2 linked regions of the Styela clava genome follow. The protein of the gene in region 2 interacts with the protein of the main gene of each other region in a pairwise test. Links are inferred from orthologs where the notes say so. Each region holds a gene or a part of one and is shown on either strand. Other genes may lie near its edges.

Evidence for each region. The genes of interacting proteins can lie anywhere in the genome.
Region 1: the proteins of ralA-binding protein 1-like (region 2) and AP-2 complex subunit mu interact in a two-hybrid assay, tested with the Drosophila melanogaster proteins (2 studies listed by BioGRID). The link is inferred for Styela clava from reciprocal best matches to the Drosophila melanogaster genes Rlip and AP-2mu.

Annotation. Positions count from the first base shown.
Region 1 is NC_135263.1:5,966,041-5,970,281, forward strand, and holds the start of AP-2 complex subunit mu, read left to right. Parts: upstream 1-1,338; 5' UTR 1,339-1,439; coding exon 1,440-1,513; intron 1,514-2,123; coding exon 2,124-2,250; intron 2,251-2,823; coding exon 2,824-2,962; intron 2,963-3,866; coding exon 3,867-3,949; intron 3,950-4,241.
Region 2 is NC_135264.1:15,712,381-15,716,621, reverse strand, and holds the start of ralA-binding protein 1-like, read left to right. Parts: upstream 1-1,448; 5' UTR 1,449-1,528; coding exon 1,529-2,516; intron 2,517-2,672; coding exon 2,673-2,832; intron 2,833-3,736; coding exon 3,737-3,990; intron 3,991-4,241. UniProt on the Drosophila melanogaster protein: Participates in receptor endocytosis during interphase, is also involved in mitotic processes when endocytosis is switched off.

The DNA.
Region 1 (4,241 bases), on a different chromosome or scaffold from region 2:
ACTGTCTAACTTAACTCAATACAGCAATACTGTAAATTTAAGACTTACGGTCGTAAACGTACAGTAGGTCAGACGGTATCGGTACAAGATCATATTGCAGTAATGGAAATTGATTCTGTTATTCCAGTACAGCAGTTTTCTCATTTTTTTTTACTCATTGGTTACCCGACAGACGGTAGGCTACAGTACGGCCAGACTGGATTCCATGGCGGGTGCACGCCCGAGGGCGCTAGCGCTGCGCAAAAATGCACGCGAGCGAATTCAATTTTGCACGCCGAAAATTTGCAATTGTTCACCAATGTAAATCGGTTTAAATTGTTTTAAAATCAATAATCCAGTAATATAAAGATGCCAAAATATTATAACTCCACAATTGTCGACTAATACTAGCTTGCAAAATTTGGTCTGATCGAAAAATGCGAAGCAAAAAAGACCATATCGTGTTGAATGATAGGAATCCCGTGAGAACAGTTATGGACGAAAAGATCGCCCCCGCACCAACGCTGGCCAGGTACGGCTCTGATTTAGCGTATTTTTCATACAATAATTTTACACGAATGTACTGAACAGTACCGGTATTTAAAGTCGAACAAACACTCTCAAAATTAGTGACGGAGTATAAAAATACTGTTTGGGGTCAACGGTCAAACGGCCAATTTTGCTCTAATTTGCACTCCCAAAATTAATGACAAAGTATGTCCATTTTTCTCTGGTTCAACGTATTTTTTATTCAATAATTTTACGCGGATGTACTGAACAGTACCGGTATCCAATATCGCACAAACACTCTCAAAATTAGCGACAAACTGTAGAAAAAAATGTTTGGGGTTAAAGGTCAAACGTCCATTTTTGATCTGATTCAACGTAATTTTTATCCGATACCGAACGGTGATGTATTGAGAGGTATCTAATGTCAAAGTCAGTTGCACGCGGGCGCAGTTGTTTTGCACGCCGTGAGCTATAATTGCAGAGCCATTATATAATGGCTCTGATAATTGCACGCCAGGGATTCTTATTTGCACGCGGGAATTTCTGATTGCACGCCCGATTTCTCGTTCAAAAAGGCCATGAAATCCAGACTGGCAGTACGGTCCTGTATACAATTCGGTATCTCTGTCTGTGGTTATATCCAAATGCTGAAATGCAGAAATGGGTGTGAATTTGTAGTACCGTACTGCTGTACTGTGCGTTACTGAACTAAGCTTCAGTTTCTCTAATCGGAAAGTCTGACAGTGGTTATGTTCCAATATCTAGAAATGGGAAGCAATCACCTAATTCATGTATTCACCTAATTCATGTATTATATTCATTTAAATTTTTTCCGATTCTTTCATTGAAAGCTAGTGAACTATTTAAACTGCTATGTTCTTATAAAAGTAGGGAAACTGAATATTTCTGTCTGAAGCGTTTGAGGCCTCTGGCCTGGTCAAACCACCAAAATGATCGGTGGTCTTTTCCTTTACAATCACAAGGGAGAAGTTCTCATATCGAGGATATATCGTGATGATATCGGGTATGTTGTTCTTTATGACCATTGATTGCAGATTTTATAACTTTTGCACTTCTATATATATTATACTATGTGTATGTTTACAGAGTGTTATTAATAACAGCCTATTATGTCAAAGTTCTTATTGAAAAATTTGATTCAGAATTTGGATCTGGAGTCCCAGAGTCCAAATATTCTACAAGTAGGAGCGAGAGTCAATTTTTCTCTACTGGGAAACTTAGCCAAATTTTTTTTATCCTCGAGTCAAAAGTCAATTGTAAAAATTTCCAGACTCCATATCCCTGCTTACAATCGCATGAACGCTCCCAGTCCAGAAAAGCCAATAGCTATTTTTGAAGTAATCTGAATTTATAGACTCTCCCTAATTGTGAGGCGCGGTTACGGCAGCAAAATTTTACCTGCCATTGGTTTTCAATTTGCTGCCGCGGTAACGGCAGCTCGACATTGGTTTGTGGCAGCTAAAAAGTCAGTCGCCATAGGTTTGGCCGTAGCGGCCATGATATGGAAATACCGCCATGGTTTTGTGGCAGCTGCAGACGCCATGGAATACTTAAAACTGCACTTGCTAATTGTAGTATTTCATTGTTCTGACATACAATGTAATATTTTACAGGCGGAACGCGTGTGATGCTTTTCGTGTCAATGTTATTCATGCAAGACAGCAAGTGCGATCACCTGTTACCAATATAGCACGGACAAGTTTCTTTCATACAAAACGAGGAAATATATGGCTATGTGCTGTAAGAATTTATTGTAGAAATCACAGTATTTTTTTACTTCAACAAGGAATGCTTTACTGCTGTGTTTCAGGATTCATTTTTAGGGGAATGAAAATTATAAGACTGATCAATATTATGGTGTATCTATATCAAAAATCAATAACTATGATTTTTAAGCTAACCCATTTTTTGGAGACTTTCCTAAATGGATTTATTAAAATATTGGAAAACATAATATATGTTACAATATAGTCAACCAAGAGCAATTTAACCAGATATATAAATTTGATTCTATTTCGATACTTTCCTGATTCTCTCAAATACCTTGTGGAATTACTTATAGTACCTCTAGTAAACAATTTCGCACTGATAAATGGTATAAAGACTGTTCAAAATAGTCCAAAAATAACACATTTTTATATAGCTTTAGTAACATTTGAGGTAGGCTATATGTTATTTGGTGGGAAATGGATTTGCTTTTGTTAGCTATGACCCTAATGCTGATTTTCTTTACGATTTTTCCAAAAATTCTATCGCGTTTAGAAACCAAGCTCTCTAGAAAGTATACAATTAAACAACGCTTTCATTTTTCAGGTAACAAAGCAAAATGTCAACGCTGTTCTTGTTTTTGAATTTCTTCTTAAAATGATCGATGTTATGCAAAGTTATTTTGGAAAAATCAATGAAGAAAATATCAAAAACAATTTTGTTTTGATATACGAACTTCTAGATGGTTAGTGTACATAGACCATAGCTTCTCTTTTATTTATCAACTTAGAAGATCCTGAGTTTGAACATCCCAGTATTTTATCAGCTTATCATGCCCAATACCTCATTCTCAACCCTCCGACCGTTTGGTAGATAGACCTCAGCTCGAACCTTAGATCTCAAGTGTGCAGCGTTCAGTAGAGAGAGAGGGAGAGAGATTTGTTTTTCGTCGATCAAAATAAAATACCAGTCATCGTAATAATAAAAATAATACCAAGTGATAAATTAGTTTGGTATGTATAGACAGGAATCAATGTCAACTCCCCACTTCACACTATTATGTTTAAGATTCACAATTTCAGATGACAAATTATTAAGGTAGAACATTCCAAAGTTTGAAATTATATTCACAAAATGGGAGAATAAAATTGGGGAGTGGAATGCTAGAGTAAATCATTCTTATTTGTATATGTGGAATGGGGTTCCAAAGTTGAAAGAGATTTCAAAGGGTTTCCAAAGTAGTTTCTAATTTCATAGCTGCGAGTCTAGTTACGACCCATGAGTTATCTGTGCCATCAAGTCGAGTCCTGGAGTCAAGATGATTGCTGAGTTAATTCTCACAGGCGGTCAGCTGATGACAAGTTTGAATTTTTTCATTTAGATGACTCGACTTTGAGTCTTTGATAAATATTCAATCAATCCAACTCCAGTTGAGTATTTGATGAAGGTTGACTCAATGCAATGCCAACTTACTGAAGCCAATACCAATGTTAAGATTTGAATTTAACAGCACTTGAATCGTAAAAAGCCTATTTCTAACAATCAAGCTAATGGAGATGCATATTAGATTAGCTTTAAAATGTTTCACATTTACAGTATTTGAAATTGCAAATGGATTTTTTTTTATCAATGAATTTTACCTATTACAGAGGTTTTGGACTTCGGATATCCGCAGAAGACTGATACTGGAATATTAAAGACATTTATTACGCAACAAGGAATCAAAACTCAGGTTATTATGTTATTTATGATCTTTAATAACATTTTGTAAAAAGCTTTAAGTTATTTTCATTTTAAATAAAGAACTAAGATGATTTTTAAAATCTCTAATTCAGTTGAAATGAATGTGTCATTGATGCAATTTGTATTCTGAAGGGATTAATAATTTTCACTGACACTTGGTATTTCTAATTTAAAATTTGTTCAAATTTTATTAAGAAAAGTTTTAATTTTCGAAATTGATTGAATTTGAACTTTATTGCTGTAATTATGTGTGATGACTAACTCTTGTTTCTTTTGACATT
Region 2 (4,241 bases):
TGTTTCAAGAAAATAAGAAAAATTGTAGATTTTGTTTTTTCTGTAATTTTTTTATTTAACTTTTGCTGAATATTGCTTCTAACAACAATACCAGCTTAAAGCACTTATTCTATTATAATATTTTGAAATGAAGTTTACTGTATTGTTTTATCAAATTTATTTGCAAATACTGTACTTAGCGAAATGCACCAAGTTTATCACTGTGGTATATTGTGGTGACTTTTTCTTGGCCTGTAAATTGGGGATATTAATTTATTTAATATTAATGATATACTTTTTTTTTTGTTTAGTTTTCATTTTGCTTGTTTTACCTAGAAACAAAGCACTTATTCATTTATAATATTTTGAAAATAAGTTTAATGTATTGTATTGTCAAATGTTTGCAAATACTTAACGCAATGCAATGAGTTTTTACTGTGATATATTGTGGTGACTTTATGTCAGCCTGTGAATTCGGAATATTGAAACTGTTTAATGATATTACTTCTTCTTTGCTTAGTTTTCATTTTGCATATTTCACCTAGAAACAAAGCACTTATTCTGTATTGTAAGCACTTTACTGTATTGTATTGTCAAATGTTTGCAAATACTTAGCACAGTGCAACAAGTTTTTCACTGTATTATATTGTGGTGATTTTTTTCTTGGCTTGTGAATTAGGAATATTGGAAATATTCAATGATATTACTTCCTCTTTTCTTAGTTTTCATTTTGTCCATTCCATCTAGAAACAAAGTTGTTTTTATATTTTATTAAATTTTTACATATTGCCTGTCTATGCATTCAAATTTTTTTATGACTTATACTCAAAAATTATAGGTACTCCCGTAGTGTATGTACCAGTTTAGGCCACAATTTTATTCCGATTTTCCTTGTTTTAGCCCTATGACGAATTCGGGGACTGTCTATGTTAGCCAAGTGAATATACTCCCTGCCCATAGGTTTCAGTCCCTTTACACAACTTGATGTAAAGTAGGCGAACAAAATTAGTTACCTCAATGTTGGTACATACACATCTGCGCCAAATTCAAATTTATATCCACATAGTTAGAAAAGGAATATTATTTTTCACAATAAAGTTGTATATGTTTATTCTGAAAATCATGATAATATGTTGGAATAGTATTCCGATTGATTAAGAAGACTGGTTTGGTATATTTGTTTCTACTGGGAATGTTTGTACATTCCAAAATTTTAAATTTTTGTTCTCATTGTTTGTGGAAAGTTTTTTTTGCAAAACCAAGTTGGTATTGTTGGTTGGAAACCATGTTTCAATGTTAATGATTGGTACTCCCAAAGTTTGTGAACCAAGGTGGTGGACATCCGAACATAAGGTAGTATGTGTAGCATGTTAGGGTTAGGCCAAAATTTTATTCCAATTTTCCTATTACGAGTTCTGGGACTAGTCAATTGATAGTATTGTATTTGTACCTGAAATTATGTACAAATTATGAAATTGATAAATGTCCACCTTTCAATCTTTAGATTCGAAATTTTGTTAAACTAGATTAATTAAGTTGAGTTTACAAAATGACTGAATCCGGTGAGTCTGGTGAAGATACCAATCGTAAAAAGAAAAAAGAGAAAGGATATCATCATTTCTTACCAGATAATGAGACAGATGAAGAATCTCCATTTTCAAAAAGCTTTGGAACTCCAAAATCAGGACAATCTAGAAAACCAAAAACATCGAAAGGCCTCTTTAAAAAAGCTTCGTTTTCTAAAGGGAAACTTAGCAAAAAAGGGAAAACACCTGGGGACTCTTTGAACATTCCTTCTGATGTACCATCCTCGACGCCAAAATCAAAAGAACATCGCGATGCGAAGAAAAAGTCAGCGAGTTTACCTAGAGACATACAAATATCGTTTAAAGACAAAAAAGATCCGCAGAAAAAACATAAATCAAAAAAGCGAGTTTTATCGAACCCAAGCGATGAGATTCCTGAAAGCCTACCAGAAGAATCCGAGGAGATTGTCAACCCGGTATTCAAAAAAACTCTAGAAGAGGCAGTGCAGCGCACTTGCTACCACGATAACATCCTTTTACCTGCTGTGGTACGAGACTGCATAGACCATTTGGAGAACAAAGGTCTAACAGCGGAAGGAATATATCGGATATCTGGAGTAAAAGCAAAAGTCGATGAACTCATAAAAACCTACAACCAAGAAATTTCTCCGGATTTGAATCAATACGACCCATACACAGTTGCAAGTCTTTTAAAAAATTATCTACGAGAATTACCAGAGCGTGTCTTGACCGACCAATACTCCATGAAGTTTGAAGAGGCTGCTAGTGGTTCAGATAAAATCCGAGCGACCAAATCAATTCTTCAAAATCTCCCTGAATGTAACCAAGTTTTGATTTCGTGGTTAATCGTACATTTCAGTCACATTATTGATCACGAGAAGGAGAGCAAAATGACGATACAGAATATTTCGATCGTTTTAAGTCCGACGTTACACATCAGTCACAGAGTTTTGAATTTATTCTTTACTCAAGCGAAACAGATTTTTGCAGGTATGTTCTGCTCCACTGGGCATTTTTTACGAAACTTTCAATTTGATATTTATGAGACGTTTTCATATGATCACACCAGAAAAAGTACCATATATTCTTGCAATACCTAAGCGTTTCAAATACTTTCAAATTCAATTTGTCTTTTTCTCTTCACAGGGGTTGAAATCAAACCATTAATCAGACCAATGAGATGGCAAGACTGGGCCACTATGCCTCCATTACCGAAAGATCAAATAGAAGTTGTTCAAGAAATAAAACGTCAAGAATTTGTTTTAAATCGGCTTCACTCACAATTACAAGCTGGTTGTAAAGACAGGTAATATTTCTTTGTTTCCATTCTGAATACATTTTGTACATGCAGTACCGACTAGGTATGAAGTTTACCATACTCATAAAATTTTGAATTATGGCAGATCATAGAAAATGTCTCCTTGTAGATTATGGTAAGTATCACGTCCCATCCAGGATATGATAAATAGGGTAGGCAATCCATACTGTACAGACTTGGCTTGTTTGAAACGATGTAACTCTAAAATTTGCTGATAAAAAAGTCCCTAGAGAGTGCTCCAGAAGTGTATGTGTACCAATATGGGGGTAAATAATTTTGTTCGCTCATTTTACATCAAGTTGTGTGAAAGGACTGAAACCTATGGGAAGAGAGCTAACACAGACAGTCCTCGAACTCATAATAGAACTAAAACAAGGAAAATCGGAATAAAATTATGGCCAAACTCTAACCTGGCACACATTTTACGATGGACCGGCAATCCACATTGGATTTGTTTGAATCAATGTCCCGTGCTCTCTAAAATCTGCTGAGAAAAGATTTGCAAGGATACTTTACATACAGTGATCAAATAACACTATTCATTATTATAAACCTTATGTGTGTTAATTCTAATTGATTAATTGTATCTGATGTTCTTTATCATCTATTCCATTAGTCTCAATGTCTAACAAAAACAGAAGTTCTGAAACTAAACTTATTTTATATTAGATCCTTGAGTGTTGCTGCTTGATACCAAGCTTTGGTTTCTTGCAGCTTCCCATCCCCAGTTGAAATGTGTGCCTATCTTTTTTCTTCATATTTTGTTGAAAACTGACTTTTTTACTGGTTGAAAAAAATAACTTGACTTGGTCAAGCACTGGCTTATATGCTACAGATTTTGTATATGCTTTTTTACAGAAACCAATAAAATCATTTATTGTTTAAATTTCAGAAAAAAAGATGAACGTTTATGGGAAGTTCAGCGTATCCTTACACAATTAAAACGTCTGAATCGAAATTTCAAAAAAATGCAATCACAAACCAAACTAGACACGTTAACTATGGAGAGCATAGAACGCAAGCGTAATCAACTACGAAGCAGTCCTGGGAACCGTAGCACTAGAAGCATTCAAGATTCAGAAAGCGGACAGACTCAGGATAAAGAAACTGTAGCAGGGAATAATGAAAAGACCACAGAGGATGAAGGTATGGATCATAGAGAATATATTGCATTTTCTGCCTAATTAATTTTAGCCTAATTAATAATTGTATTGGGTTCTCATCTTAAAGTTTTAATTTGCTGTGGTTCTATGCTTTGTGTGAACTGAAGTTTTTTTTTGGTTGAGGCTACGCTATAATGGCCGATACATTGATGGTCAGTGGCGTGTCTACGTAAAACAGCGCCCATGGCAAAGTTTAAACGTGCGCCCCGATCGTTTAACGACATTTTTATCGAC